2 linked regions of the Oreochromis niloticus genome follow. Each later gene encodes a partner of the first gene's protein in a complex. Links are inferred from orthologs where the notes say so. Each region holds a gene or a part of one and is shown on either strand. Other genes may lie near its edges. The genes, in order: polr1e and polr1f.

The links.
Region 2: polr1e (region 1) and polr1f share a complex: the UniProt entries of both Homo sapiens proteins name them as parts of the RNA polymerase I (Pol I) complex. The link is inferred for Oreochromis niloticus from reciprocal best matches to the Homo sapiens genes POLR1E and POLR1F.

The regions. Positions count from the first base shown.
Region 1 is NC_031971.2:22,559,860-22,575,595, reverse strand, and holds polr1e (DNA-directed RNA polymerase I subunit RPA49), read right to left. Parts: upstream 7,849-15,736; 5' UTR 7,783-7,848; coding exon 7,707-7,782; intron 7,474-7,706; coding exon 7,370-7,473; intron 7,288-7,369; coding exon 7,211-7,287; intron 7,131-7,210; coding exon 7,045-7,130; intron 6,929-7,044; coding exon 6,873-6,928; intron 6,771-6,872; coding exon 6,626-6,770; intron 6,533-6,625; coding exon 6,422-6,532; intron 6,249-6,421; coding exon 6,152-6,248; intron 6,065-6,151; coding exon 5,934-6,064; intron 5,843-5,933; coding exon 5,761-5,842; intron 3,504-5,760; coding exon 3,372-3,503; intron 3,183-3,371; coding exon 3,017-3,182; 3' UTR 2,873-3,016; downstream 1-2,872. Other genes in the region: fbxo10 (F-box only protein 10), read left to right, coding at 1-211, 328-515, 1,557-1,737; zbtb5 (zinc finger and BTB domain-containing protein 5), read left to right, coding at 8,109-8,140, 10,159-10,372, 10,459-11,319, 12,895-14,052. UniProt on the Homo sapiens protein: Component of RNA polymerase I (Pol I), a DNA-dependent RNA polymerase which synthesizes ribosomal RNA precursors using the four ribonucleoside triphosphates as substrates.
Region 2 is NC_031985.2:23,845,822-23,861,722, forward strand, and holds polr1f (DNA-directed RNA polymerase I subunit RPA43), read left to right. Parts: upstream 1-9,676; 5' UTR 9,677-9,707; coding exon 9,708-10,009; intron 10,010-11,276; coding exon 11,277-11,418; intron 11,419-11,658; coding exon 11,659-11,867; intron 11,868-12,764; coding exon 12,765-13,275; 3' UTR 13,276-13,948; downstream 13,949-15,901. Other genes in the region: tmem196 (transmembrane protein 196), read left to right, coding at 155-319, 2,496-2,552, 4,182-4,317, 5,301-5,419, 5,499-5,570. UniProt on the Homo sapiens protein: Component of RNA polymerase I (Pol I), a DNA-dependent RNA polymerase which synthesizes ribosomal RNA precursors using the four ribonucleoside triphosphates as substrates.

The sequences.
Region 1 (15,736 bases):
GCTGACCCGACTTGCTACAAACTGCATTCTGGAAAATGGTCGAGGTGGTGTTGCGGTGGAGAAAGACTGCAGAGTGGAGCTTCGTGGTAATGGCATCTACGAAAACAGTGGCTATGGTGTCAGTTTCAGTGGTAATGGGCAGATTGTGGAAAATGATGTTGTTGGGAACCGTGGATGTGGAATCCAGGTCTGTGGAAGTGCCGATATCAAGGTGGGATGGACTGAAGATCTCCAAACCTGCTATTAGACCTGCATATTGTAGCTGTTTACTTTTATATTAACCGTAACTTTATTACATTCGAGTTTTTAATAATTTTTTGTCTTTAGGTAATGCGCAATCGTGTCCAACCCTCACAAGGCTGTGGGATCGCCGTGCTAGGGCCAGTTAAAGGTGTTGTCCATGACAACATCTTGTTCCAGGGTCACCGTGACAACAGAAAAGCGTTGCTACATATGGATCCTGGCAATGAGAGCTGTGTGCTGCGGAACAATAGCATTCTAAGGCATGATGACAGGTAATCAGTCGGCCCATTAAAAACTGGCAGACATTCAGTAGACCAGGGATCTCCAACTCCAGGCCTCGAGGGCCGGTGTCCTGCAGGTTTTAGATATGATTAGTTCATTACCAGCCTCTGGAGAACTTCAACACAAGTTGAGGAGGTAATTTAGCCATTTGAATCAGCTGTGTTGGATCAAGGACACATCTAAAACCTGCAGGACACCGGCCCTCGAGGCCTGGAGTTGGAGACCCCTGCAGTAGACCATCAGTGGAATTAGTGTTGTCACTTTCTATCGCTTCTGCTGTCTGCGCAGTGTCTGTAATAAATAGTAAGTGATCTGAGTAAAAAAATTACTCAGATCTGCAGGTTAACTTAAAGAACTTTTTGAGGTCATTGCTTTTAGTAGGAAAGCAGTGGCTCCGCTGTGTAGTGATCACATTTTCCTTACATGTGAAATGATCCCCCAGTTCAAGACCTAGGGCCCAACCTCAGAGGTTAGAAGATGGCGTACTTGGTGAAGTACTAAGGAAGGGCATCTAAATATCAGGATACCGCTTGAATCAGTTGCTGCTGCCTCATCTTATTAACTTGAGTTCTGCGTTTGGCTCCTTAGAAGTTCTTAGTCCTTGGTTCTTTACCGTGTTGGTAAACACACCACACTAGTTTTTTGTTGTTGTTTTTTTACTGGTTTTATTACCTCAGTGGAAAGCAGTGCTTGTTTTTTGTAATCACATTCCCTCTCTATTCATTTGCTTTGCTGGGCTGGACCCATACGTGTACTGCTACAGTTTACTCTAATAGCAACGTTTTTGAATGAAGCAGTTTTTATGAGAAGAAAAAGCTCTAAAAATTCACTGTGTGCCATTTGCTCAGAATTGTATAACAATCAGTCAGTGACAGCTAGCTAGTGGCATGATTTGCAGCTTAAAAGTTATTTCCCTCAGGAGCTGGTGAAGATGAAAATGGTTTAAAAAACAAATAGGGGTGGGGTGAAAAATAATCTTAAAGGGCATCTCCTAATTGTTGCTTACCCTTTTTCCTCTCTTCATTTCATAGCTGTACATCTGTTCCCCCCTGGGTTATGGAAAACCCTCCTCCTCGCCCACTGGCCAGCTCCCCTGCAGGTCTCTCTTCATCCCAGTATCCCTCTGGACTTGGAATTTCCGTGACCACCAGGATCGGCGCAACTGTGGAAAGTGGTTGCCACAGCGGCAGCATGTTTTGCAGCATTCTGTGAATACTGGCAAGAACTTACAAACCAATATGATAGCCAGGGTCAGGAGGTCAGCATCTGGTTGCTCCTTAACTGCTGTAAACCATACACGTGGGGCACTGACTGTCAAAATAAGGGTTCGGTTAATTGTCCAAGTAGCTGGAGACCGCAACTGAAACATTAAAGGAGCCATCCACCCCCATTTTTATTAAGATGGAAGAAGACTTTGAAAATCTGAAATTAGACTTTTGTACTTCTATGATTAAAATGCTACTGTGCTCATAAAACGTGGGCTATTGAAAACCGAAGCTGGAGTACAAGACATTCATACACCTTTGGAATCTGTTTGAGACTAGAGCTTTGCCTAGTTTATCATTAGCTCATTTACTGCAGACTTGTTTGGTAGTCTTATTTTTGCTTATAGGGACTCGCTGGTTAGGAAGTGCACATTTCTAAATCCTAGCAGGAGTCAAAGGCTTCAGAAATGCTGGCTTTGACAGTGGGTCAAAGTAAAGCTGTGCCTTGGTTGACTATTTAAGGGATGGCTGTAGCGAGGGAAGGTGTTTTCATAGCGTGAGGGCGTTTATGCAACTAAGCCAAAACTAAGATTCTGTCTCTGTCCTGTCTGTTGGCGGGTCTCTTCTTGCGTAATGTCCTTTGTGGTTTTTAAAACTTAATGCACTTCGCTTTTTGAGACATCTCATTATTTCAGATCCTGTCAACATGCTGCAGAGAAAACTAAACAGATATCTGCATATGATTATGCAAAAAAAAAAAAAACTGTTGGTAGTCTAAGCTTTATAGTTCCATTTGTAGTCCACCTGCACTTAAGTTCGACCAACCAATCACATTTGATGGTTTGCATTTGCCGAAATATAATCTCACAACCATCCACTATTGTCTGATGACAGTTTAGCTTTTTTAACAGCTTATTTAATTTGTCTGCATTTGTAAAAAAAAAAAAAAAAAAAAAAAAAAAGCCAAAAAAAAGAGACCAGCAGACAGAAGAGGAAGTCCGTTATCAAGATATCCTGTCCACACACTCAGAAGGGGAAGATATGTAGTGTGCAATATGTGATGTCTACAAACGTGCCTATACGTTCCTGCTAGATGTTCTGTCATCTAGAATTTGTTTACAGCTCTTTAGTCTTTTTTTTTTTATCTTTAAATGTAAGCTTGTCACGTTCGACTTGAAGTTCACTTTATTTGTCTACAAAAGCATTAATAAACAAGCCTTGTTTAATGCAGCCATTTGTTTGATATTCATTTCTTTCTGTCCAGTTCTCGGTTCTCCTTTGCGTCCTCAGTGCATCTTTTTGCGTTTCCGTCTCTCAGTGAAGTGATCGTATTTGATCAGAGGCAGAACGAGGGCGGCCAGTCTGCTGTCATCTTGTAGTTCAATGTTATCACCCTTGCCTCGGGCTGGTTTCACCAAGGTCAGTCTCATTGACTTTGCGACTTCAGTCATCCTATAGGAGAGCACAAGAATCACAATAGTTTACAGTTTAAACAAAAACTACAGAGTAAAGAAGGAGGATAGTAGTATGTGTGGTTAAGTCCACATTATTGACTTCATTAATGATTTTACTCTTTATTTAAACAATGTATGAAATGTAAGAAATAATTTTTAAAGGCTTCCTTTTTATTCCCCTGCTTACCTTGCCTCAGTGATTCCCAGGTCACGATGCAGTAATGTGAGGTCAGCTGTCATGTTACCCATATGCAGCAGCAGAGCTAAGCAGTATGCTGCTAGTTTGACCCGCATTGACGATGACACCATGTTCTGGATTCTAAACAGAAAAGTTAAAGTAAAGAAAGTGCATCTTTTGAAAAGAATCAGTGCAGCAACAAATACACTGTTGTGGTCAGATGTTTACATAAGCTCATCATGGCCATGAATGTCTGCCATAAATAATTTGGCGATTTTTTTTTTTTTTTTTTTTTTTTTTTCATTATTTATTTGAACTGTTTTCCAGAGTGAAATGATAGTAAAGCATGCACCTTTAATAACTTATAGTTAAACAAAAATTAGGTGCACAAGTTTAAATTTATTTGGGATTTTCTGAAATCCACATAGGTCAAATGTATGCATACAGATTCAAATACATACACACACACACACACATCCCCACTAATATTTGGTTAATGTCCCTTAGTAAGTTGTACTAATATGAGATTTTTTTTGGCAGCCCTCAAGAAGCTTCTGGTGTAATTCTGGCTGAATATTTGACCACTCTTTTTGGTAGAATTGGTAAAGTTCATTTAACTTTGTTAGTTGCCTGGCTTTAAAGCACACTGAACAAATTTAAACAGGGTGAGTTGGGGGTTTTTTTGTTTTTTTGAAAGGCAATTCCAGAGGCTTAATGTTAGCCTGCTTTATTCATTCTAAAACCAGTTTTAATGTGTGTTTGGGGCTTCTTTGTTGGTTGGCACCCTCTCAGTCCATGGCAATGAAAAAGGTGCTTCACTGTGGACAGTGATGCTGGTGTTCCAGCGGTTTCCAGTTCATGGCAGGCTTAAGCCATGGTGGTTTCTGGGTTGTTCCTGACTGTCCTAGCCCACCTTCTCTCCTATGAGGGTGACATTTTTGGAAAAGTGATGACATATCAGCTGTTTAAACTGATGATGTTGGAATCTGTAGTTCTTTCGAGGGTGTCCAAGAAACTACAGTTCTCTTTCTTAGATCTTCAATTAGTTTCTTGGACTTTTGTATTATTCTGAGTATTATTCAATCCAGTTGGTGCTATCAAACAAACCCTTCTTATGCTGCAAAGAGAAACTAAAAGATGTAGTCAATCATGACCACTATCGAGAAGCTAATAGGCCTTAACTTTGTTAAAATACATTGTAGAACCTTTAACAACACTTACTAAATTATTTAAGTGAGTGTATCTAGGTGTATGCTGTACAATCATTCCACGCTGAGAAAAGAACAGTTAAAAGAAGTAACTGGAAAAAGTTGCATTTCCTGGGAAAATGCAGTGTGAATGGCGTGTAGTGGAATCTGCTGAAAACAGCAGAAGAAGCAGAACTATCTGCTGAAAAGAGTTGTAGAAGCTGAAGTGCTTGCTGAATTTGAAAGGGTACAGTGAAGAGTGTCAAGAAAGCTGAGTGCATGCAAGCGGGGGAACATGTGTGGCAACCGCCACAGGTAGGATTTGAACCTTCGCCACCGGATCTCATAGCAGCTGCTCATCCCACTGAGCTAAACCAGTTCTAGTGCCAATCAGAGATATAATGAGAAAAACAATGTGCACTGTGCAGAAGAAGCTGAACTTTGTGCTGAAAAGAGGTGAAGAAACTGAAATTTGTGCTTAAAAGAGGTGAAGAAGCTGAACTTTCTGCTGAAAAGAGGCGAAGAAGCTGAATGTTCAGCAAAAAAGAGATGAAAAAAATGAAATTTGTGCTGAAGAGGTGAAGACACTGAAAACTGTTTTGAAAAGAGTTAAAACAGTTGAACTGTTTACTGAATAAAATGCTGCCATAAGCGGGATTTGACCCGGCCCTCCTGGTCTGAGAACGGCTGCTCATCTCACTGAGCCAAAACATGGCTCAGCCCGGCAAGCAAAACTGGTGATCACACTGATAATGTGGTCCCATTCAGCAAAATGGGCCAAAAAATGGCATAAAAAGCTTAATATCTCAAAAAGTATAAAAGTTATGAGCACCAAAAGATATAGCTGGCATTAGCAGAAAGAGCAGAACAGTTGGAAATTTGAATGGTGAAAATCAGATGAAAACTGAGGGAGTAATTAACCAGCAAAGGTCGGAGCAACTAGAATAAGGTAGAGGAATAAAGTTTAAAGAGAAACAGGATCTCAATAGTGTGAATGCCTCACACAATTAAAAGCCCAAAATTACCACGACATTCATGCTCATGATGAGTGTATGTAAACTTCTTAGAACTGTATATATTATTTAGCTTCCCTGTCTCGGTTTAGCATTTGGTAAATTTTTGAATTACTAATGAAATTATTAATTTAGTGAAACAAAATCAAATTCCAGAAACATTTTTCTTCATTAGCTACATGTGTTTAACCACCATACCTGCCATTGTTGAAGGTCTCCACGGTGAACGTTTTAAAGAGTTTGCCCTGGATGATGCGAGGGCAGCCTTCCTCTTGCCCAACTGTACATGCAAACATGAATTACTACAACCCTCTAATGGTGAAAGTTTGTATACCACTTTCCACATCATAATACTAACAAAATTCACTCACACTTGCGGGTGATGTTCCTCTCCCGAGCCAGTTTGAGGAGCAGAGAGAGGTAGAAAGCACAGCGTGCTGTTTTGTCTCGGCTTTCACTTTCAGTTGGCAGATTCTCTAGATGCTTCACAATACTCAGGCACCTTTAGGTTAAAGATAAAAAGCACAAGATCAACCTCAAGTGCAAGAACACATTAATAAAATGTCTCTGAAGGTTTTGTTGCCCCTACCTTCCATCATCTTTCATCTTCTTCAGCTCTTCGGGGGTGAGTGCTGCCATTTTGGCACCACCCTGCTCCAAAGCACCAAACTCCACTGGGCTCAAGACTGCAGATATTCGGTTAAGGGTCACCTGAACAAAGTCTGGTACAGCTCTAGATAAAAACCTGCAAACACATGCATACGCTAGTACCCCATCTTGTAATCTGGGATTCAAATGGATTCCTTGCCTTCCTATTTCCATAAACACATTCCTCCTCCAGCACAGGAATAAAAGATACGCTCATCAAATGGATAGACGTCCTCTCGTTTGTCTGCGTTTGCATTGCAGGGGGGAAGGTGCAGAGCCAGGTCTCCTTGCGACTCTGCGTCAGCCACTTCTTGCTGCAAAGCTGTGCAGAGAGGGAAGGTTAAGAAAAAAAAACATGGAAAGAGAAACATTCTTTCGGATTTCTCCGAAGAGAGGCATCCACTGTGCAGCTTACCTTCCAGACCCTTCTCGCCAATCACAGTGTTGGCAGCCTTTGCCACTGCTTGCTGAAGGGTTTCACTGCCCACCTGATTCAGCCTGCGAGAGCTCAGAGCTCTCTTCTGCTTGTTGGTACCAAAGGCCTCAATCAATAAGTCAACCTGAAAGGGAAACATTAAAGGTAATAACAGGATATTCACATCACATTACACATAATTAAGCACAGATGTCTTTTAATGGACAGACAGCAGCAGCAAATGCACCTTTTCTCTGTAGGTCTGAGTAGTGTCCTGGGGTTTTGCACTGTCTGTTGTCTCTCCTGGTGACAAAAGTCATAAAAAGCGACTCTCAGAAGGCACACAAAGCATTCCTTCCACAGCTTCTGGTCTTTGTGGGCAGTTAAAAATAGCAACAGATATGTTATAGCTCTCTTACCTGGTATAACTGGTTGCATGTTGAACAGCTGAGCTTCGTGCACCTCCATCGTCATGGTCTGCTTGTTCAGCACGCCCACATAATATCTAAAGAGATGCCAAACATCCTCCTTATCAATCTCCTCCTCGGTGACCATAACATGCCAAAATGTGCAGCAAAGACCTACTTGCAAAGATTATTGCACTTCATGGACCCCACTCCAAAGTTCTGCCCCACATAGGACAGTCTGTCTGACTCGGCAACCTAAATAAAATAAACCAGGAAGAACACTGAGAGTATACCAACACAGCCCGGAGAGTGCAGACACACTCCTCATCTTCCTCACCAGTATCCGCCTGGTCTTTTTCCTGGGGTTACTTTCCTCCGTGTTCTTCAACATGCTGAAATCCAGCTTGTCTGCATTTTGGACGCTGCCGTTAGAAAAGCGGACTGTGGGATTGAGACAGAAACACCGGGAATTATACGTGATCAAACCTCAATGACCGATGTGACTGTACAGTGACACACGTGAGAGCCTCGGACACAACAACACGGTATAGTGCCCACGTGTGCACCTAAATGCTTTAAAAATATAAACTCTACAAAGCCCAACCCAGAGTCATGTGTCATCATCATCATCCCCGTGAAAAATTCTACATAATAAACAAATGAGGAATACTCACCGACGACAGCTTTATCGGCTTCTCTCTCCTCTCCGCAGCACACAAACGAGCAGGAGGCGGCCATGACTGTTGTCATGATGAGTTTTCATGCAGGGCAAGAGTTTACTCCTCTGTACTTCCGTGTTCGCTTCGCCAAGCCGCTGCTCTAATTTCTCCAGTTTTGTTGTGGATACTTTACCTGGTGCATTTCTTTATTTTGCCTGTACTGTTCCTTCTGCCATGTCTTTGTTCACTGGATTATAGGATTATCCTTTATACGGGCTTTAAAAAAATAAAAATGCCAAAGCATTTACCATCTCGATGCTGTTTATAATCTTTGGCTAACTGGTTGTGTGTGGGGATGCAGCAGCGACACCTTGTGGTGAAACCGTAAAGCTGCAGCTTTTCACCTCGGGTGAGGTCATGGACGCGAAAAAGAGGTACAGCGCCGCCCCGTGAGTCTGGTTGGAAAAACCGTCTGTCGGCGGGGGGAAATATTAGAAAACACAACACAGCATGACGCTACCGCTTACCAATTGATAGAAGGCATTAATATTATTCTAACGGTTATTCTGGCGCCGTGGCTGTGTGCTCAGCCTGGCAGGCGCTGGAGATCAACGGACACCGCGGCACCGTCCATCGCGGCCAGCTTTACGTTCCCACGGCCAAAACCAAACGAGCCGCTTCGGGGTCAAACCGTCAGGAAGTCGACCGCAGGGGGACGCGAGAGGTAGCAGCGGAAATGTTAGCTATCCACAGCTCGGCTTGAGGGGACATTTTGTGGGCCAGTCTCGGTGACCGCATGCCGCTGCTTTTACTCTAGCTAACGGGCTATTTGCTGGGCTGCAGCCAGCTAACTTTAGCTAATCGGGGCCCTGTTCTCCCTCTCGATACCTGCATTTTCCGGATTTTTCAAGGTAACCTAAAGTACTGCTGGCTCTCTGCTCTGACTTACAGTACCAGCAGACTGCTTCTTTTGTGCCATTTTACCGAGTCGCATCCCATGCTATTGTGTTCCAGTGCAGTTGTGACGTTAAATGTGTGTAAAGACGATGGGGTCCAATAAAGTTAGACCTGTTCGTCAATATATGACTTTATAGCAAGAAGGCAAAGGCAGTGGAAAACGCAACATTTGGTGCACAGTAATCAGTAAGCGAAATAAAATGACAGTACCACGGCATCCTGGCTGTTAGCCAGTAAATACAAAAACTGATCCAACTTCTCCCCCATCACCATTCAGACATCGTAGACTGCATCCACAGGTACTCAGAAATGTAGAAATACACATACTTGTTTCCAAAAATAATGAAGTGCTGCATTCAGACTCCGAAATACAGTGAAAATGAGCTATTTGGAGGACATTTCTATCAGCTGTTTTGTGCAAAGCTAACTTAACTTCATTAATAATATAAGAATAAAACAATATTATGGGAGTTCAAACATTAATTCAGCCCAAATTCAGATGCAAACTGATGCAAATGAGCATAATCGTGGGTTTAAGTTTGACTCGAGTAGGTGTGAGATCTCTAGTTTTGTAGTGCAGCATCACTTGGAAGTAATTTTTATTGTAAGCACAATGAAATTTTCTTTGTTTTCGGGCTGGGATCAGCTGACCTGAGTTGCTGCTCTTGTTGGCTGTCAGGGCAGATTTCTGACACCCCTACACACTATAAAGGTGGAATTCAGTGAATTAATCTCCTTAGTATAACTTTAAATTGACATGTTTCCTTGTTACAGTGACCATAAACGCCACATCTGTAAACTTCTCCACAGTACCGCAGATTAACTGGTTTACCCTGCCATACACTGCCTTTTCATGCAACCTTGGAATAGCAAAAAGTTAGTATACACTTAACATAAGCGACACATCAGGTATAGATCTGGTATCAGTTCACAAGTGTCTAAAATGAATGAGGATGTTATGTTTCAGCTTTAACTTCCCAGTCGGTTAAATGTCACGGAGCAGTCCTTACCTTTTAAAATCTAACCTCTCTCCATCCTCTCCTGTCTTACTTCGATAAATAAACTTTTTTTTTTTAACATTTTGAAGTGTGACAAGTGTTGAAGTGACACATATTGTGATTTATCACTTTGTCCCCAATTGTTTTATCCAGTAAGATAACTTCATCTTACTTAAGTTTTTTATTCTTTTTTTAATGCATAATGGATTGTCAAGCAAGCAAGCTGCAGTCAGTGTGCTACTGAATGGGGTCAAGTTGGCAACTACATACAGTCTGTTTCTTGTAATACAGCAATTAACTTAGAACTATTGGTTTGGGCATTATGATGATAAGGGTAAGAGTACGTAGGGGCAGTAAACTGAATTTCCCAATTTGTGGAAGAACAGTGAAGTTTGAAAAGCTCCAGGTCGCTGCTGATTGGTCAGATGCAGTGACATCAGTAGATCACCTGATCTTTGCTAACTGACTGTGGTTCTGCATAACTCACCTACCCTCTGCTCCTCTGTCTGCAGGGCCATGGATTTCCCAGGCCATTTTGAGCAGATCTTCCAGCAGCTGAACTATCAGCGTGTCCATGGCCAGCTTTGCGACTGTGTCATCGTGGTAGGCAGCCGACACTTTAAAGCCCACCGCTCCGTGCTGGCGGCCTGCAGCACCCACTTCAGAGCGCTGTTCACTGTCGCAGAGGGAGATGCTAGCATGAACATGATCCAGCTGGACAGCGAGGTTAGAAAGAAAACGCTGTCAAAAAAGCGAAAAAAGTGTTTTTAGTCATTCTAATGGTGATTGAAACCACTGTGTGCGTTCTGCAGGTGGTGACGGCCGAGGCCTTTGCCGCTCTCGTGGACATGATGTACACGTCGACACTGATGCTCGGGGAGAGCAATGTCATGGATGTTCTCCTCGCAGCTTCGCATCTGCACCTCAACAATGTGGTCAAGGCTTGCAAACACTACCTGACAACACGCACGCTGCCCATGTCCCCCTCATCCGACAGAGCTGCCCATCACCACCCACAGCAGGAGCAGCAGAGGCACAGACAGCAGCAGCATCAGCAAGTAGCTGATTTAGCAGTGAACCCGACATTAGCAGCTAATGCTAACCTTGCAGCAAATGCTGCCACTTCAAAGCTGCAGCGCTCCTTCTTACTGCAGCAGCTGGGGCTCAGCTTGGTGAGCTCTGCTTTGGGTGGGATGGAAGACGACCGGGCGGGAAATGTAGTTGGCAGTAGGGTGGTTGACCAGAGGGCCTCCTTCCCAATCCGACGCTTCCACAAACGAAAGCCCTCTCTGGCGTTGGGGCTTTCAGAGGAGAGACCCAGACAGAGACAGCGTCCTTCGGCGCCTAACCTCGGGTTGTTAGGAGAAGAAGGGGTGAACGCAGAGCGGGAGGATGGAGCACTTCTCTCCCCAGATTCCCACAAGATGGGGGACGAATCTAAACTTGACCCTGCGATCACTGGGTTAGCAGCTGCTTCCCAAGATGACCCTCAGATGCCGAGTCAGTCAGATAGTGGACGCTGCGAGGAGGAGAACTTGGGGAGAATTCAAGGAGTAAACAAAGAAGAGGACATGGATGACCAGGATCAGCAGGACAGCAGAGCAGGGGTGAAAATAAAATCAGGAACAGAGGAGGAGGAGAACGAAGAAGAGGAGCAGAAGGTAAAGCTACAGATTTGTCTCTTCAGTGGGCAGGAATATTTCCATAGATAAAACTCTCCAGACCTCTCAGGCTTGTCTGTATGAAGTAAACAAACTTAACAGAAATTGTTGGTTTGAATGTCATTAATGCAACCAGGGGTTAAGGGATTGGACAGAAGAGGGAAGTCATAAGATCGGGTGTAGCAATGCAGCAGGGGAAAATGACTCACTTAGAAAAGAGTCACACATAATTTCTGTTCTGAGGATTTGATTTCCTTGCGGATGGACTGTGACAGCTGACCTGTGCTGGCTCTGAGGTTCACTGGTCTTTGTGGGTTTTGCTTGCTGCAATTTACGAGATATTAACAGATGTTACATGAGCTGTCGTGGCCACTCTCCAACCTTTGGGCGGTGTAATGTCTAAAGGTGGAGATTGGCAGGTGAAGGGTAGTAAAGAATGTCATCAACTTAAATTCAAACTAATGACTATTACCCTGAAGCCTTGATTACATTTTCCGCATCTACTTGGATCCAACAGACATAAATTTGACCAGCGTTTTTGTGGCCTCGTTAACTAATGTGCAGATAATTGACATTACAGTCCATGAACTACACACACACCCCAGGCAGAAGAGTTCAAGCAGACTTCAAAGAAGTATAAACAGGAGGGACAACTCGGCCATCGAGTTTCTAGCTGTCATAACCAGTCCTAACAGTGATCGTGAACACCCATCCTGCACTTCATTACTGTAAACTGTACCACAGCACTGCAGAGTACCTACTTTAGCCTGAAAAGACTGTCCAGTATAGATTTTAAATAACCCCAAATTGTCATTTAACAGTATGGAATGATTAAATAAGTCAAATAAGGACAGATTATAACAATAATTCCAAGTTTTGAATATCTATATCAAGTGTCAATTGTAAGGTTGTCACGGTACTAGAATTCCACACTACTGATACCAATCATCAGAACACTACTCGAAGCTCCATACTATTGTCGATACCACCCACCCACACGCACACACACACACACACACACACACACACACACACACTCTGCAGCAGTAGCAGTAATGGCGAAGAAGCCATTTCTTGCAAAAGTTAACTTGTTAATTTTCCACTAAGTATTTCCAATTATAGGTTAGAGTTAGAAAAAAGTATTTATGATTAACTTTAGAGGTTTTATTCGTTTTACAACTTATATAGAGGAATTTATCACCATGGCTTAATACGCCACCCTGGACCTGCAAATTACTGTTACAGCTGCTAAGACGACACACGTCAACAAAGTAGCATCGCACTGTGACAGAAGAATGGGGAAATGGTTGGATGTTAACTCTTTATTTCGAAATGAAATGCTAGAAAAAATACAACGTCTTGGTAAGGCAAAGCAGGCTTGTTCAAGAGATTATTTTACAGCATCTGATGTTACCCATTCGGGAGCTGGCTCTGAGGTTTCTGTGAGAAGTGTCCCCACAATAAAATTCTGTCCAACTGTGAGACCTTTAGGCAGTGTTGTGAATATTAATTCTTACATTAAAATTTGAGGTCTTATCTCCCTTGGCCTTAGATGAAACATTTCTTTCCTTTTCTTGCTTTTCTTAGGTGGTTGTTAAACGTGAGCCGCTAAGTTCTCCCGAGCCAGCTGATGAAATTAGCGACGTCACATCGCAGGCCGAAGGCAGTGATCCTCCTGAGCCTGGGTGCCAGGAGGACGAAGAGAAGGTGGAGCTGAGCCCAGAGAGCAGCGACCGCAGCTTCACTTCTGAACCCCAGCCCAGCTCCGACTCTCTTCTCCAGCCCAGCTCCCAGCTCATCCTCAAGAGCAGTATAGGAGGAGGAGGCGCGAACGGAGGTGGTTTTGGACTGAGTGGCAAACCTGGGTTCAGCATTTCCAGCTTCCTCAGCCAAAAGGATTTTGCGACTGGCAGCTCAGGGATGGTTGCCGGAGAGGACGACCTTCCGAACACAACAACTGGGGATGCAGTAGCACATCGCTTTCTGCTGAGGCAGGAAGCTGCTGGCACTTCTGGCTCTGCTTCTTCCTCTCTTTTGCAATCAGGCCCACTCAGTGGTGAGAGTAGAAGCAGTTTTGGAGATAATCTGCAAGCCGATTCTCTGTTCCTCCGCCCCCTGCATGATGGTTTAGGAAACCCCAGAGGAAATGGGGGAAATTCAAGAGGAGGACGTGGAGGAGTGGATCCTTTTGATTTGGAATTCCAGCGCTCAAGTTTGGGGCTTCATTCACTGGGACGGCCCTCAAGAGAGACAGGAGGAGTCAGCGGCACAGGTCTGAGTTATCCAGGCTACAGACGCATTGCTCCAAAAATGACCACTGGCATGGGAGGAGAAGAGGCAGTAGGGGGGATTCTTCAGGATGCTGCCTCCTCTTCATCAAGTCTACCGGGTCCCCTGCTCCTCAATGAGAACGGAGGGTATGAGATGAGTGGCAACAGGCCCACCTCCCTCCCCCCTCAGCTCACCCGGGCCTCAGCAGACGTTCTGTCCAAGTGCAAAAAGGCTCTCTCAGAGCACAATGTCCTAGTGGTTGAAGGAGCACGAAAATATGCCTGCAAAATCTGCTGCAAAACATTCCTCACCCTGACTGACTGCAAGAAACACATCCGTGTCCACACGGGAGAGAAACCCTACGCATGTCTGAAGTGTGGAAAACGCTTCAGCCAGTCTTCACACCTATACAAGCATTCCAAGACCACCTGTCTGCGCTGGCAGAACAGTAACATGTCCAATGCCCTGCTGTAGGAGCAGAGTGTGGAGATTAAAACACTAGGAATCAGTGTAGCTGCCTTTAAAGTCACAAAGCTGTTATAAAAATGTTTCTGAAGCTCTGACTGAACGGCCAGTTTTGTTATCCGCTCTGTCTAAACTAACTGATCCTGATCACAGACCAAAGATGGGGATGAAAAGGTAACTTAATATGAATATGTAACATTATCTTCTCCAAGACCAGTTGATAAAGTTTCTGTTAAAAAATTAACCCTATAGAAAGATTATAGGGATGTAGGCCGATATATCAGCCAATACTGGCTATTTACCATTTGGCATTGATAATGGCCAATAAGTGAAAAATTTAAAAGGAAAAAACACCTTTTAACAATTTTGTGAGCATAACACAGCGTAAAAGATGGACGTAGCTGCTGTGACATCACCCTTTGGTTAGTGAACTCCCATTATGAAACTTCAAGATGAGTGTCTTCACCATTTGAGGTGATCCTTTAGTGCCGATTCATTGTTAGTGGTACACTTGGAAGTAAATTCGATTCAGTCATTGCAACACTCAGAGGCAGCTGTGCAACATCAGCACTAAAGACTGACATCATGTAAAATATTGTATTTAAATTCATATTCAGTGCATAATTGTAAAAACATGTAGCAGCTGACATTATTGACTGTGCCTTGTTCTGTGCACGGCCCGTCACATCCATTCACATTCATCCACGTTGGTCGCCATTATGCGTGTAAGTGCTAAAATCTAATGGTTTATTAGATGCAAGCAAAAAAAGGCAGAGATAATCCAGTGTGTGGGAGAGACCTGGGTAATGCTGAAATCTGTAGCATTTTAACAGTTCAACCAGCAGAGAAGGCGACAGAGTATGTAGTGTTGTAACAGTGTTTGTATTCTGTCATGCGGTGAAATGTCATCAGTACTTTGTTAATTAATAGTCATCATGAGGAATCGAGCAGTGACTAATTCAAGTCAAATTAACGTGACATGATCGTCGTCTATGGTTGATTTTCAGTCTGTCACTGACGTTGTTGCTGGGCTCATTTTAATGTTGAAAATGTTTTTGGTAAAAGGCCAAATAATTCAAAATGTACTCATGGAGGCCTTCATGTGACATATGTCTGCAAGAGTAACAGCCTCACTTTAAAACATTTATACTTGTAGGGGGAAAATTCTGAATTACCCTGATTACCCTTCCACCACAACTGTTTACCGTAGAGTGAAGTTTCATTGTTTACTGACGTAAAATTATTACGGCAATCAGGAGAAAGGTTTAAAAAAAACAAACGTATTTTTCTGTCCAAATTCATAAAACAGTTTATTGTGATTGTAAAAATATGGCACTACGTGACTTTCAGCCGTAGCTTCTCGGTGTTGTGTGTTTATTGAAAGAACGGCGAAGTTTCAGTGACGAGTTCAGCATGTGTTGGGGGAAAAAAAATATTTCGACATGTAAATACTGTATTGCACATTTCTGGTAAGTCCTTTGGAGAGGAGACAAAACAACTCCTAAAGATGTAAACATTGTGTGTATGTTTGCTACTGTACTTGATATGAGTGCTTTATACGTGTCTCTTTACATATAATGTTGCGCCTGATACAAAAACACTGAGACAAATCAGTCTTTTTTTACAGCTAATAATGTTTACTGGAATGTTGAACTATGTGACGACATCTTCATTGTAATCCAACCATCCGGCT
Region 2 (15,901 bases), on another chromosome or scaffold:
TTCGCTCCTCTTCTCTTTGCGCTTGGATACACTTTTTTCGCCTCTTCCAGCCGGATATGAAGCAGTAGAGCAGTGCCGCCCTCGGAGCATTGAGAAGCGGACTCCCGCCTCAGCGCCTCCCTCCTGCTGGAGCTGGAGAGATGCCCGGGGCAGGATGTGCTCCAGCCGCAAGATTCTGTGGAGCCTGCTCCTGCTGTCCTTGGTGGAGGTGGGCCTGGGTGTGGCGAGCATCGTCCTGGGAGCGGTGGGCATCAGCTGGGTCCGGGGCGATCATAAACCGCAGCAGGGAGACGCTTCTCCGGTCTGGAGTGGACTCTGTGTACGTCTTTGGAACAAGTCTTGTCGCGACTTTTTGTCTTTGTCTCACATCCCCAGAGGATAAGTATCTCCAGGGATCGTGCTGAAAGATGAGACCGTTAAAACTCAAGGGAATTGCCTTCCTCTTTATAGAGCCTGCTAGAGACAGCATGTGCTGCATGTCTGTAAGCATTAGAATATCAAATAAGGGAAACATATTCTGGTCATATAAGGGCTAAAGTACTAGACTAGACCTTTAATATATTCATACACCATAAACTACAGCACCAAGGTAACACAGATATTTAAAATGTGCAGAAAAACAAAGAAAACTCTTAAAGATTTTTGTATTTTTCCCTCTAAAACTTCTCAAAAAACTAATTGACTCCAAATATTTTTGTCTTATTTAAGTTCCTATCAAATAAATCCATTCTGCTTACAGAAATTCTTTGTTTGAAAAAGTTGAGGCGTGGAATTTCTGTTCATATTTGTGGTTGTTTACTTTTCAAACTCTATACCCGGCGTGGTTTTGCTGACACAGCTTCATATGGTATTTGCCTATAAAAGCCTGGCAGACACACAGCCATTTGGCCTGGCACTAAAGATTGGCCTTATTAATTCCTGCTTGATTTACTGCTCATTGCTTGGAAGGGTCGGGGCTTTTAGACCCATCTACGTCCTTTCAGTCTATTGAATGTGTCTGCTCCTGTTTCTGCGCCGCTCTGAGCCTCACTGTCTCGATTTTGCCACAGAACAGTTAAAAAGTTTTGTTTCTGGCATCTTAAGCAGCCACATACCTTGAATCATCTACTTTACTGTGACAGTCGCTCCAGCGGGGGATATATAGTCTATCTGTCAGCAGTTATAGCTGAGAATTACTATAAATGCCAGGAGCTGAAGCACTATGAGTCATAAAGAGTCATATATAACATTATCATCGGTGTGAGACGGCTGCTTTGAAAGACTGCTTAAGTGTAAATATGTGGGTGTGCATCAGACGGAAAGGAGAAAAAAAGCATTTACTGATATATCACAGTATATAGGTTCCATATCTGGGCGTGAGTGCACTTAAAGTGCGCATGATTCCAGCAGTGTAGATGAAGTTCCTGCAAAGATGTTATGCAATGGGTCGTCTGCGAGTTCAACCACACAGCTGTTGAGCTCTGTCTGCTGAGTCAGCCACCCAGCTGTCCAAGAGTTTCAGTCTTCTTTCGGGACCTGGGAATTATGGTAACCCACTGACCGGTGACTTTAGAGGACACTGACTCTCCAACCTTTAGTGTCTTATTGTGTTGAAACAGTGTGCATTAATAATTTATCATTTCTGCAACTTTGGATTAAGTTTCAGAACAGTGGAGCAGTTTGGGGTTGTTGTTTTTTTGCAATGAACAGCAAACCTGAATCGTGAGACTTTTTGTAAAACAGAAGAATTGTCTGTTTAAAAGATTTCCAGTTTTGAAAGCAGGCAGAGCCCTAAAATGATCAAATCTAATCTAAAATGATATATTCTAATCTATCTACTGTCTAATTACCTGATTAGGAGAATAGGGCAGTATAGTTATAAGATTGTAAGAATGTTTTTACAGTGAAACAAGAAACTAAACCAGAATTTTAAACTGGCAAATATTATCCTAGAAAGTACATATTAGGCAGCTTAATGACCTAAATTTCACATGAAGATTTGTGTGTATGTGTGTGTGTGCGTCAGCTCAACAACTTGATCCATAGGTAGGAGACTTTATAAAGAGCTGAAAGCTCTTGAGGGACTCTAATAAGTGCACCTGGCTCTTAGAAATATTTATCCATCCATTTTCTTCTCCTTATCCAATTATCTAAGGTTAGGGTGGGGCTGGAGTTTATCCCAGCTGCCATAGGGCGAGAGGCGAGGTAAACCCTGGACGCGAGGCTAACACGGAGAGGCTGTCTAGAAACATTTATATATTAAATAATAATAAGCAGACAGTGTAAATTATCCTGAAATAAAAAATAAGAGGGCATATCTCCTTTTTCCACCAACATCCTTCTGGAAATGTTATTTTTAGAGGGAGAATCTCAATGACTGTTATTTTCAGCATTTCCCATTGTTGCATCAGGGACGGGTGCCATAAAAAAGAAACATCTAAAAATTTCTCATGACAAACTAACTTGAACTCACAGAGGTGTTAATTTACTAACTTGTTGACTTTCTTTGTTTCCAGTTTCTGGTCTGCGGGATGTGCGGAGTGCTGTGTGCTCGAAAGAGGACTGGCCTTATTGTAAGTACATACATACTGAATGAGCTCGGTTTATTTCTCCAAGTAATTTCCTTTTTTTAATGCCTGTTAGTCTGTAGTGTACAAACAACAGGAGCCCTATGTGAATGCAGTGAAATGATATGATGCATGGGTGGGGTACCAAAATCCGACTTTAAACACACTCCAGGTCATTAGTTAGTGATTCACTTTTAGGCAGTTTGTACTGAGCTATTTCCAGGATGGTACCAGTTTCTAGGAATTAGGCAGAGACACCAGGAAATAGTTCGAGAAGGCCTGCAGCCTTTGCTAGAGGTAGAAGGTGGATTTTGGTTTTTTTAGCTTTGAACCGAGCCAGGTTGTTTTCTTGTTTCTACCTTTTATGCTGAGCTCAGTCCAGCTAACTGTCATGTGCCTGGGAGCCTTTTTCATTACGTATTTGCTGGAATTATGATGCAGATGTCTTCTGTTGTGGATATCAGATGCAAAGTCAACTGTATCAGGAATACTGAACGCAAAGCATACACAAGGTCTGCATATTCGACAATGAAAGAACTCCCAAAGGTGTGTGTGTGTGTGTTGCAGCAGGTGCAGTCAGTGTGCTCTGAGAGAGACATCTGAGGAAATAAGAGGAGACAAGCAGTCACCTCTCTTCTCTTTCTGTCGCTCTTTCTGTCTTTTTTACAGTCTCTCAGTGTCTCCCAGTCCTGGTGTTTCTCTCTGACTCCCTGTCTCCTGCAGGGAGGAGACTAATGATGGATCAATGTCAGCACAATCTGCTGTAACAGAGACATCACTCAACCTTTCTTTCCCTCCATCTCACCCTGTCCAACTTTTGTCTCCCTGTCTATCTCCTCCTACTCATGCTTTCCCTTTTTTTCATCACTATATCTATCCATCTGCCTCTTCCATTCACTCTGTCCCCGCCGTCATCTTCCTCCAGCGCCCTCCCCATGTCTGCCTGTGGGGTGATGATTACATTAGGTTGGTTTGGCTCCGGACCCCTGCCAGCCACTTTCCACACTTCCCTGGGTAACGACTGAAATAGGAGATGCCCTTTTCCATGTGGTTAAAGGCACTACCGGCATCTGCACAGGGGGCGGTGAACGAGGGCTTGCACTCCAGATGGAATACAAACACATTCACAATTAGTGGGAAGTATATGAATCATCTGGATTTTATTATCTTGATAAGAAGATGATGGAAGTCTAACCATTTTCTCATCAGATTTTACCCCGAAACAAATAAATAAAAAGATGAAAAAATCAGATTCTGAAACTGGGATTTAGTTTTCCCGGTTCTGATCACAATTTCCGGAGAAGTAATCCGTAAAATGCGATTCATTAAACACACAAATCAGACACAAACACACAAATACAGCAAGTGAGTGATGCAAGCATATTTACAAGCCGCACATCGCTCCTGGAACAGACAGTCGGCTTTGAGAGTGATCCAATTTTCTAATGGCGAATGAGATTTATTTTGACTGATAGGCATTACTCATCGCCGCAGCCTCGTTCCAAAACAGCAGAATGATGGAGATGGAAGCTCAGTAGTAATTTGTATATCTCCGGTCTCATTGCATTTTGTCACTTGGTTTACAGATTTGTTGATAAGGTCTCAATTTTGCAGCTTACCCCCCTTGTCTTTCAGATGATCCTCTTTTCAGCGTGCTGCATCTGTGGGCTCATTGCCGGGATCTTAAACGTCCAGTTTGTTCGGGCACTGAACAAACGGCCGGACAAGATGCAAACAATCCACCTGGCTGCAATGACTCTGGCTTGTCTAGGTAAAAATAATAACAAGGATGCAAGACGTAACACAATCTGATGTGACACAATTGAAAACAATTCATGTCTTTGTCTATTTTTCATTGTAAGACCAGAATGTTATTAGTCTCTGTTCAAGTATTTGAAAGGGACTAAATGTGGGGGTAAAGATAAAGCATCTCTTTATTAGTCACCTGTCAATACTAACAGTATACCAAGCATTTCTTATTACTGCTAATCACATTTATCTCAGCTCTATCTCAACAACTCTCCAGTGCTCCAACACCCTACCCAAACAAGCTTTGTCAGTTTTATTCAGATAAGAAGTGCCTCTCTATTTCTTTTCTGAAGGTCTGCCGGTATACTAGTCGCTCCATGAGGTTGTGCTTGGAGCTAAATGTTGATACCAATGTTAATATGGATATTTAGTAGGTACGTAACAGTTTTAGCATGCAAACCACATTAGGGACATAATATTTGCTAGTTAGCGATACATCAAAGTCATTTTAGCTTAGAGAAAATGTCAGGGATTAAATGCCCTAAAAGTCTCTGAATGGGGCCATAATTTCAAAAGTAATCAACCAGCAATTGAGTCCATAAGCCCATTAGGAGAGAATTTACCGAGGACATAAATCAAGAGTGAGGTAGTTTAATTTTCTCATAGATATTATTATAATGTAGGGACCAGACCCCCCACACACACACACTCACAATTCGAATTGGACAAGTGGAAGAAAATGGATGGCTTGATAACTAAATAACTGAAATCAAACGAGGCATTGCAACGTTGGCTTCACTTGTACCCGAAGGCTACATCCATCTTTTATGCAGTCCATATACAGACTTTGGCTGAGACATAGAACTTCATAAGTGAAACTCTTTCCATACTAGCACTAAAAAATAGAAATCAGACGATCATCCAGCACAGTATGTTTTATCCTCTGGGGACTGAGTCTTTTTCTGTGCACTTCTGTGTAAAATTTCCTTTTCCTGTCTTATCCAGGGATCTCGACCTGTACCTTATCCACGTGGCTGACTTGTCGCCTGGCAAGCTCGGAGCAGCAAAGGATGTTCTTGGAGAGGGAACACTCGCTACATCATTCCCATGAGATGACAGAGAAGGTAGTAAACTGCATGATTCATCTTCAGCCGCTGTTGGAAGTGTTTGTTAAGCAGGTTTGTGTTTGTGTGTCTCTAACAGGAGGTCCTGGACAACTCCAGTAATGGTATTCCTCAGATCTCCTATAATGGACACACCGCGGCGTCTCCTTGAGGAAGTTTCAGCAGGAGATGATTTGCAGTCTTAAACAGGAGCAGTTACTAAAACTCATGCTGTCACGCAGCTAATGCAGCTTGTAGTAGACTGCGTTTAACTGTATCCTGACTGCAGGGACTGAACCAAATTTGTCGCCTTGGAACCCGTTTACCTGCTGACTGAGTGAAGCGGACGGCATGAAGGAGCCGTTTGTGCTTCTGAATATTATGCAAACATGGGTTCAAATACCTTCGGTTTAACTCACACCAAAGCCGGGATGGTGAGCTGCCGTTTGGATGACAAATGAGGTGACAGACATCTGCGTGAAATCCTCCAATTTGTGAGCGGGAAGGATACATTTCATCCAGTCAGATCAAAGTGATGAGCACAAACCAAGCATGCAGCTGATTCACTTGTTTAGAAGAGCTATTTCAGTCTCATCGTCCTTATTCTCTCCCTCTCTGTCATGTTATTGGTTTATGGAATCCAGATCTTGAGATAGCCTTTGGTAAACTGTATGTATCATCTGATAATGGAATGCTTTGAGAGAAAAAAATTACAGTAATGCACAATGTACTGTATGTATCCATGCTTGTAAATCAAACATATTTTTATAATGCTTCTTATAAAGTTCATTCAATTAAAGTACGACTAATAAAAGAATTGCACAGTCTTGCATTTTGTTTTACTGTTGCTCTGTTAAATACATGTTGAGATGAATCTGGTTTTATGATCGCTGTTTATGCAGACTAGCCTTTTTTTTACTTACATAGTTGCCAGTTTGTGTGTTTATAGTACATGAACATGCATGTTTGTGGAAGTGTGTTTGTGTTTGTGAAGTATGTGAGGTTTAAGTAAAATTGTGATGGGAATTACTTTTCAGTTCGTAAGCCAGATTTCAGCATTTTAATCAATACACTACATCATTGTAGGTGATAGTAACACCCAAAGGTTAAAATAACACACTGAAAAATCGCACTACGAAGAACCGTATTTAAATGACTCAGTCATATTAACGAAATCCAGGTGGGGTTTTTTTCAAAACACACATTAGAGAGCAACCATCTCACACCTTGTGGGCGGTCTGCAAGCTCGGGTCCTCTACCAGAACCTGGGAGCTTGAGGGTCCTGCGCAGTATCTTTGCTGTTTCTAGGACTGTGCTCTTCTGTACACAGATCTTGGGTGTTGTTCCTGGGATCTGCTGGAGCTACTCGCCCTGTTCAGGGAGTCACTGCACCGAGTAATCCGATTACCACTGGGATCACTGTTACTTTCACCCTCCACATCTTCTCGAGTTCCTCTCTCAGCCATTGGTACTTCTCGAGCTTCTCGTGATCCTTCTTCCTAATTCCTATCACTCGGTATACAGCCGTCTTGCTCTGCTTGTCCACCACTACTATGTCCGGTTGGTTAGCCATCACCAGTTTGTCTGTCTGTATCTGGAAGTCCCACAGGATCTTAGCTTGGTCATTCTCGACAACCCAGGGGGTGTGTCCCATTTTGATCTTGGGACTTCAAGGTGATACTCAGCACGGATGTTTCTGTATACTATGTTGGCCACTTGGTTATGGCGTTCCACGTATGCCATGCCTGTTAGCATCTTGCATCCTGCTGTTATGTGTTGGACTGTCTCAGGGGCATCTTTACACAGCCTACACCTGTGGTCTTGCCTGGTGTGGTAGACCCCAGCCTCTATCAATCCTGTGCTTAGAATTTCTCTATAACTGACAATGGCACATGCCGTGCAGGGGCCTGTCCTTCCATGATGGTTCCTCTTCTTGCTCCTCTTCTTTCTGGGAATACTGCTGCCTGAATGCCTGGATATTTATTTACTATCCTGGATAGTGTTTCTGAAACTCTGTGCTCTTCTGCCTCCTTCCTTCTGCTTAGAGTAAAGTCTCAGGGAGCTGGACTTGGGGTGAAACCAAAGCCATGATATTCTCTTCCAGGTCAGCTGTTCTTGCATTCAAAGTACCAGTTGTTTTGGGGGGCTTGATACCCAGAAAGTGTGGAGATGATGACATTCCTCTGACATAATGTCCCCTTATTTTTTGTGTTGTACCTAATCAGTCACTCATTGCAATAGCAGTTGCATCTTGTGGATGTTGGAGCACTGAAGTTCAAGTTTGATGTTTGTCTAGATGCTGGTTGTCAAAGAACCCATAGATCCCACATCCTCATGTAATCCCTGTGTAATACCATCCAGCAGTTATCTATTTTTGCTTGTCCACTCATGCCTTATACTTCTTCTTTTATTTTATGTGCCATTTTATTCACTGAGTCATTTACAAACTATGTACTTATGCATTATTTCCTCTACCACATTTGTCCCCAATATATTTCCTGTCTCTATTTTTTAATTTAACATTTTTAATTTCTTTATCCAGTATGGTTCTTTTATAACTAAGCTATTAAATAATGAAAAAATCAGTAAATAACAAGGGAAGTTATATAGGAAAATGCATAGCAGGAGAATTAATAGAGACTGAATTAAATACAAAGAAAATGATCAAAATGATCAAAATCCATGTTGATGGTTATAATGACAATAATATATTTGTTGGGTTGAATTTTAGATTTTGGCAGTTCCAGTCCTTCATAGCATCATCAATTCAGAAAGCCACTGCATTCTCATGAGACCACAGTTTAAGGCAATGATGATGCTGTTCAGGGTTCCCACACTTGTCGTAAAGTTAAGTGACAAAGTAAATCAGTTTCATAGCACCCGTCAGACCTGCAAGCTTAAAATGCTTCACAAAGGAGGAAGAGCAATAAAAACCTGTTTCCTCCACACAGATGCTTGCACACAGACACAGCTGTGACCTCTTATGAAGATAAGCTCTGACAACATCATTGCTGCTCAGCACCTCATTACAGTGTTCGCCAACTCCAGAGAGAAGCTCCAAACAGAGATGTGTGTGCATCTGTGTGCATTTATGCATGTTTGTGTGCTGACTGGGGCCCACAGCAGCAGAAGCCACAGGGAGCTAAGAAACCATGCACTATTTATCACCGTGACAACAGACAGGAAAGGGCCATGGCTCCTAACAGAGCACCGGGTCTGCGATTCCTGTGAGAGTGTGTGTGATAAAGAGAGAGAAACGCTGAATCATGTGACCTCCTGCGGTGCTGCCCTGTCAGAAAACAGTAACACTAGATACATCTGTGCATGTGTCAGGATATTTTCAGTGTATGCCTGTGTGTATGGCTGGACACGCTGCACTAGTTGCACTAATTGACACCTCAGGTCACCCTAATGATCTTAATGTGGCTCTGCGGGTGAGAATGGGATACAGAATCAATGATCACCTCCTACCACACGAGCTCCCTAACAGCATCCCTGCCAGGCCTATCAGGGCCGAACTTGTAGATTACATAACAAAGGGCATCAGGTAACTTACGTAAGCATCATAACAGCTACTTACAACAGCAAAGCCACATGGTGCTCGTTTTAATTTGCTAAAATTTTGTCTAAAGCTAAAAGTGATGCTGGCGAATGCCTGAGCCTACTTCTGCAGGAGGTTTCTTCCTGTTAAAGAGGAGTTCTTCCTTCCCACTGCCGCCAGGTGCTTGCTCAGATGAAACATATTTATCTGTGGCTGCAGTTACTTTGCAGGGCTAAATTTAATTTACAAATTTAAAATGTGAAAATGAAATAGCCACTCGGAATAAGTTCACCATGTTACACAGGACATTCATTATTTAAACTAACAGACAGTTTGGCCACATGCAATATTTAAATCCATCAACATGTTATGCCAGGAAACATTAAAGCATTACTGCACACAGACTATCCATGAACAGCCATTAAGTCTGCAGTCACTCATTTATCATCGTTAAACAGTGTAAAAGTGTTTTGATGATGATTCAGTCTGTGCTCTGCAGACAAAAGGGGCAGTAAGTTATACAATTCTTCATATTTTCTAATTATTTCAAGGTTTTTAGAATATTTCTGTGTCTAAAAAACTATTAAACACAATACTTTTTGACAATCATTACGTAAAGATAGTGAATGGGATCTAAAATAAACTATGAAATAAGCTTGCAGTATGAAGTTTGTGGGGTGCGCTTCTCTTCTTCACCAGCAGGGGGCAACAATAACAAATGCAAAGCGGAAGTCACCTCTTGTTTGTCTTCCGGTCTTTCTACGCAACATGGCGAATTTGGAGCATGGTGAAGACAACCCAAAACATGTGAGAATGTCCGGTGAAACTCCCGACGCGTCCGTCCCGGACCAGGCGGCCCAAGAGACCCCAGCACCGGTAAACACTGCTGCCGCCCTCCCGTTATCGATCCCGTCGTTCGCCGCTGCCTCCGAGCTGTTGTCAGCGCCGTACTCGTGTCTGGTCATGAACACCCACCGGAGACACATCGCCCTGCCGCCCGTGTATCTGAACAAGAAGAAGACGGGGATAAAGGAGGAGCTGGAGGCCGAGCTGCTCAAGTTCTCTCAAAGGTGCTTCTTTTTTTCCCCCGCCGACGATTTTATCCAGTCAATAAAGCATTTTCAGCCGGACAGTCCACTTTCCCACGTACGCAAACACGCACACGAGCTGGGATGTCTTCTAGCCGTCTCGTGTGTTGTAAAAGTTCATGAACCTAGTAGCTACGCATGAAACGCAGACTTTCAGCTTTAATTCAGGGACTTTAACAAAATCAGTGCATTGTTTGTCCGGAAAATACAGCCATAGACACATAATCTAACTCCGTTTAAATGTGTTTTTAAATCCCTTACAGTCAATGAGTGCCTAAAGTCTAAAAGTCATGAACATCACATCACCAACTGCGGTTTCTTCCTTTGAGAAGCTCTAGCAGGTCTTTACTGCAGCCAGCAGTTGCTGCTTATTTGTGGGCAATAACTGCATTCAATTGTTAGTTCAGTAACTGAAAACCTGCTGTATTTGGTAGAGATCAGGTAACTTGGCCATTGACGATTATCTCTGCTCTTTCCCTCGGGAAACCCTTGGGGATTTGCAGTGTGCTTCGGGTCATTGTCCATTTGCACTGTAAAGCACTGGCTGATTAGTTTTGCAGCATTTGTCTGAATCTGAGCAGAGACGATCCCCAGGTCGTCCTGCTGTCACATTATCTATAAACACCAGCGATGCAGCTCCACAGGCAGCCATGCATGCTCATGCTTTAATACTTCCTCCACCGGGTTGACAGATGATTTTGCTCTCTCTTATAGCTTTACTTTGGTTTCTCAGCCTGATGAAGATCATCTTTGTGTGCACTGATATCTCTTTGGGCCACATAATGATAATTCCAGGGAACAGCTACAAAATACAAGTTTAAAATTCTTTATTCTCCAGATCCTTTATCCTTTATCTGCTTAATTTATTGTTTAACAGAGAGAGCAGGCCTCTCCTGGCTAAAAACAGACACCTGTTACTCAGTGTTACTGAACTGTCCCGTTACTTGTGAGCCTCTGAAAATTGAGGATTAAACAGTTAATGTAGTTATTTTGTTAAACCCCTCCGAGTTAAAGTTTATAATCTGAACTTGAATCACATCTTAATGGTTTGTTTTAGAATCCACTGTGGTGCTCTGCAGAGGTAAAAGTACAAACAATGTGTGATTGTCTGCAAAATGTATTTTATGCATGAATCACTGAGCGTGGCCTCGGTGAGGCATTAAAACCAGTAATGGTAACGCAAAAAGGTTTTTCAGTTTAAATAAACTGTTAATGCACAAGATGACCTCGTTACTGTTGTGTCTTTCAGTCTGAACGGAGTCCCCTTAGCCTACGACGACATCAGGATAGTGAGACACCTCGGAGACATTTACGACGACAGCGGCTACATCCACGTGGACGTGGAAGCCAGCTTTATTGTTTTTCAGCCGCAAAAAGGACAAAAACTACGGGTGAGATTTACATTTACATTATTTAGTAGAAGCGGAGAAGCTGACGGGACTTTACCTGACATATAGTGTCTGTTAAACGAGACCTGCACTTTTCAGTGTTTACTATTGTTGTAATATTCAAACAAGTGACATATTAAAACCTGCTGCTCTGAGGCGTACCTGTATTTTGTGGGAGTGATAAAGTGCCTCTGATAAAATACAATAACTAACAGCGTGTATCACGTATTTGTCTGTTTGTAGGGTAAGGTAAATAAACTGGGAATAAGCCACGTAGGCTGCTTGGTGCACGGCTGCTTCAATGCCAGCATTCCCAGACCGAATCTGGTTTCTGTGGAAACATGGAGAGACGCGGGGCCGAGGATCGGATCAGAGGTGGAGTTTGATGTGACGGCGCTCGACGCCGACACTGCTGGGGTGCTGCTGATCAGAGGACGACTGGACAAGACCAGGCAAGTGTGCAGTATCAGTGATGGTGATTTTAGTAGCTTCGGGGCAAAACTAAAGGCCCCAGTGTACTCGTCACTTTGTGCACTGCCGGTAGCATCATCACACGAGTAGCCACTGCAGTATTCTCCTGAACGATAGGCGAGCAACTCAGACCTTCACATCAGCGCTGGTATGGGAGGAGAAAAAGTCAAAGCGACGTTAAACAGCACGATTGTACACTTGTGTCTTCAGCCCGGCTGAGCAATGTATGACTACATGTACTGAACAAGGCATTTAGTCAACAAAATCCAAATGTACAACAAAATTGTCTCTGAATCACATTTCATCTGGACTGTGGAGATAAAGAGAGTAACAACAATTCAAATTCTGAATCATCTACAAGATCAAAACAAGTTTAAAACTGAATCTAACGTTATAGGAAGAGAGCGCAGGCAGGATGGAGACGAGTGTTGGGGCTGATTTATGACAGAAGGAAAGAAGCAAGAGTGAAAAGGAAGGTTTATAAGATGACCTGCTCTGATGTATGGCTCTGAGATGGTGGCGCTGACGAAAAGAGAGGAGGCTGAGTTCGAAATGTTAAGATTTTCACTGGAAGTGCCCAGAATGGACAGGATTAGAAATGAGAAAATCAGAGGGACAGCTCCGGTTGAGCGGTACATGTGCAGAGGAGGGATGCTGGATATATGGGACAAAGGATGCTGAAGATGGAGCTGCCTGAGAGGAGGAAAACAGGAAGACCTCAGAGGAGGAGGATGCTAGAGATGCTATGCTCCCTTTAGGAGTTGCTACATCACTGAAGATGAAAATGAAGAAGTCTAACTTTATAGGTGAAACAGGTTTTAGATGTTCTGTGTGCATATCCCTCCTGTATTGATTGTTTTTGTCTTTGTGTGCCTCAGGGTGCAGGAGCTGCTGGCCATGTGTGAGGGCACAGAAACCAGTGTGCCTGCAGGCGAGGAGGGCACAGAAACCAGTGTGCCTGCAGGCGAGGAGGACCCAGAACCCACCCAGGATGCTTCTGAAGAAACCCCGAAGAAGAAAAAGAAAAAAAAGAAAGTCAAAGAAGAGGAGATAGAAGAGGAGATACCAACCATATCTGCATGCCAGCTGGACAACGGTGTAACACCAGAGCCGAATGGGATAAGGGATGAGGTAAACGGCAATGAAACCGGAGAGAACAAAAAGAAGAAGAAAAAGAAGAAGGAAAAACGTATAAAAGAAGAGGAGGAGGAGATGGATGTCTCTCACGTGGCGGTCCACGGGAGCGACTCCAGCGGTTACGTAAGTGACAAGCCAAGCAAGAAAAGGAAACGTGAATCGGGACACGATGTGACATCATCGTTTAGTGAAGATCCCGACCCGGTGAAACCAAAAAAAAAGAGAAAAGTCAAAATAGAGCAGCATGCCTAAAAAATGGTATCTTTACAAATTAAGTGAAACATTTGGAATAATCAAGGACATACTGAGTGTGTTAGTGATAGCGATGGCCCTGGAGGAATATTCTGACCTGTGCCTTAACCATGAAAGAGCCTGATTGTCATCCCAACGTTGGCTCCTTCTCGCCTTCATAAACAGAATGTCGGACATGCAAGAGAACATGGAAATGAGAGATCAGGAGCCGGCTTGACAAAGATTCCTCACTGGATTGTAGTTCCAGCCTTCGCCACATGGCGGAGCCAAACTGCTGCTTACAATCAGTCTGGCTGACAAAAATCCAGAGGCGAAAACTCACCAGCAGAGACGGTTTGATCATCTTTTGCTATGCTGCTGTTTTTATGTTTTCTCATGTTCAGCATTTAAGAAACAAAAGCCAAATGACTAATGCCGCCCAGCTCAGTTCAAGACTTTGGCTCGTGCTTCCATACAGTTCTTAAACAAATTGTTCTGAGTGTGACCGCAAAGCAAGGAGAGCACGTTTTACTTAAATCCACAGTAATTAGTGAAAGGTCTGGAAATAAATCAGGCACAGTGACAGTGAAGCTATGAAATATTACTTTTGTGTCACTCACTTTTGTCTTTTCATGGATTTTTCTTTGACCGAGAGCAGAAATTAGCTGACAATAAAAATTATATATTGTTCTCACCCTTTTAAAGAGTTCTTTATTTTGATATTTTGTCATGATGTCTACTTTTCAGTGACAATTTGACACACCTGTGCTTTGCAAACACACTCATGAACAGCGCTTCGATTCAGTGAGACATAAATTCCTGTATTTTTGCAGTTTGCAGTGGAAAATTTTGCAGCTAGCTCTTTTGCTTTGACCGGTGGGAGTCGAGTGATAAAAAGCTGAGAGATAAGACTAAAGAGCTAAGTGTTTTCTTTACTCCCCCCCCACACACACACACAGAGTGAGGGAGAGAAATCCCCCTGCTTTTCAGTGGGGAGTCTAATTAGCTGTTAGGTGCTAAGAGTTGGAGAGCTTATCGGAAGCTGCCTAAGAGGAGAGATAAGGGGATGCGATTAACTTGGCTCATCTTCATCAGTCACACCTGATCTTACTTTTCTGTCATCTGCATGAGCTGCACCATCTGTGTGTGCATCTTTTTTGGGTGGACAGATAGGAGAACACTGCAGAGAGCCATTCAATGCTGTTAGTCACCACACGATGGTTAAAAGAACTAAAAAAGAAAAAAGGGCTGCTTGTATCCAAAGCATGCAGTCTGAGAAGAAACAACAGCAAAACTTCATTGTGAAATTTTTTTTTAACTGTTTATCAATCATACACTAATAGCAAAACAAGAAAAACTTGCCAAATATTTCAATTTAAAAAAAACCCAAAATAAGCTTTTAAAGGTTCAGTTGTCTGTTACCAAATAAAATCAGCTTCAAGAACTTGGTCCAGGAATCCAGTTATAAACAGCTTTTTAACGCAACCTCAGACTTACTGGAATAAAATATGAGCACGTCAGTATTTATCAAGGGCTCTGTGGGGAAAACATTTACTCACATCTATTTCTGAAGCAATGGTCATCAGCCAGTTAGCTGATAACCCAATGTTTAACTTTAAGACTGGAAACACCTGTTCTGTCCAAAGCCAGGGTTCTCAAAGTGTGGGCCGTGAGCCGGTGGTGGGTCTCTAGGTCAAAACAAAGAAAAGGGGGCACTACCTGCACTGCCAAAATAAGACGAAGGGAGCGCTGTGCCTTTATTTGTCCATAGCAAACGAAACCTTCCTAACACTGAAATAATGTAACATCTGCAGTCATCTGAAAGGAAACTTTTTGCAGGGCTGTACAGTGCTGTGAAAAACTAAGTACATCCCACGATTAAACAGCTTACAGAACCACCTTTGGCAGCAATAACTTAAACTGCTTTCTGTATGACTTTGTCAGTCTGTGATATCGTGGAGGAATACACAGTGTTGCTTAATTTTATTGAGGTTTGCAGAGATGTTTTTAAGCACAGCTCTCTTAAGGTTGGAGGAGGAGAATCAAGGTGCTGCAATGACCCGGTCCTTCTGTTGTAGATTCACTGCTGTGCTTGGGAACATTGTCCTGTTGCATGAACCAGACTGGCTCGAGCTTTAGCTGTCGGACAGATGGTCTCGCATTAGACTCTAGAATGCTTAATTTTATTAACTATTCTTGTTAATAATACTTAATAAACAGAAGAGTTTGCAATTGACTCAATAACTGTCCACGTCCTGTCACTGCAAAACAAGCCCAAATCAACACGTCTCCACCTCCGTGCCTGATAGCTGATACTGTATTCGGCGTTTGGTGTTCACCAAATGTGGCGCTGTGCATTATTGGCCAAACATCTCCAAATGGAGATCTCTCAAAATCTAAGTTTTGTTGTAGGGTCTGGACTTTTACCTTGATTCTTTTCTTTTTCAGCCATTGCTGTACTTTTAATCATCGTCCTGTTGCTTTACTAGTCAGACAGATGGTCTCAAGTTTGATTCTTGAATACTTTGGTCCACAGAGGAGTTCATGGTCGACTGAGTGACTGCCAGGTCTATTTGGTCTCGTCTGACCAAAAGGACGATGCTCCAGTAGTCCTGTAGTTTGTTCAGATCCACCTTTATAAACCCAA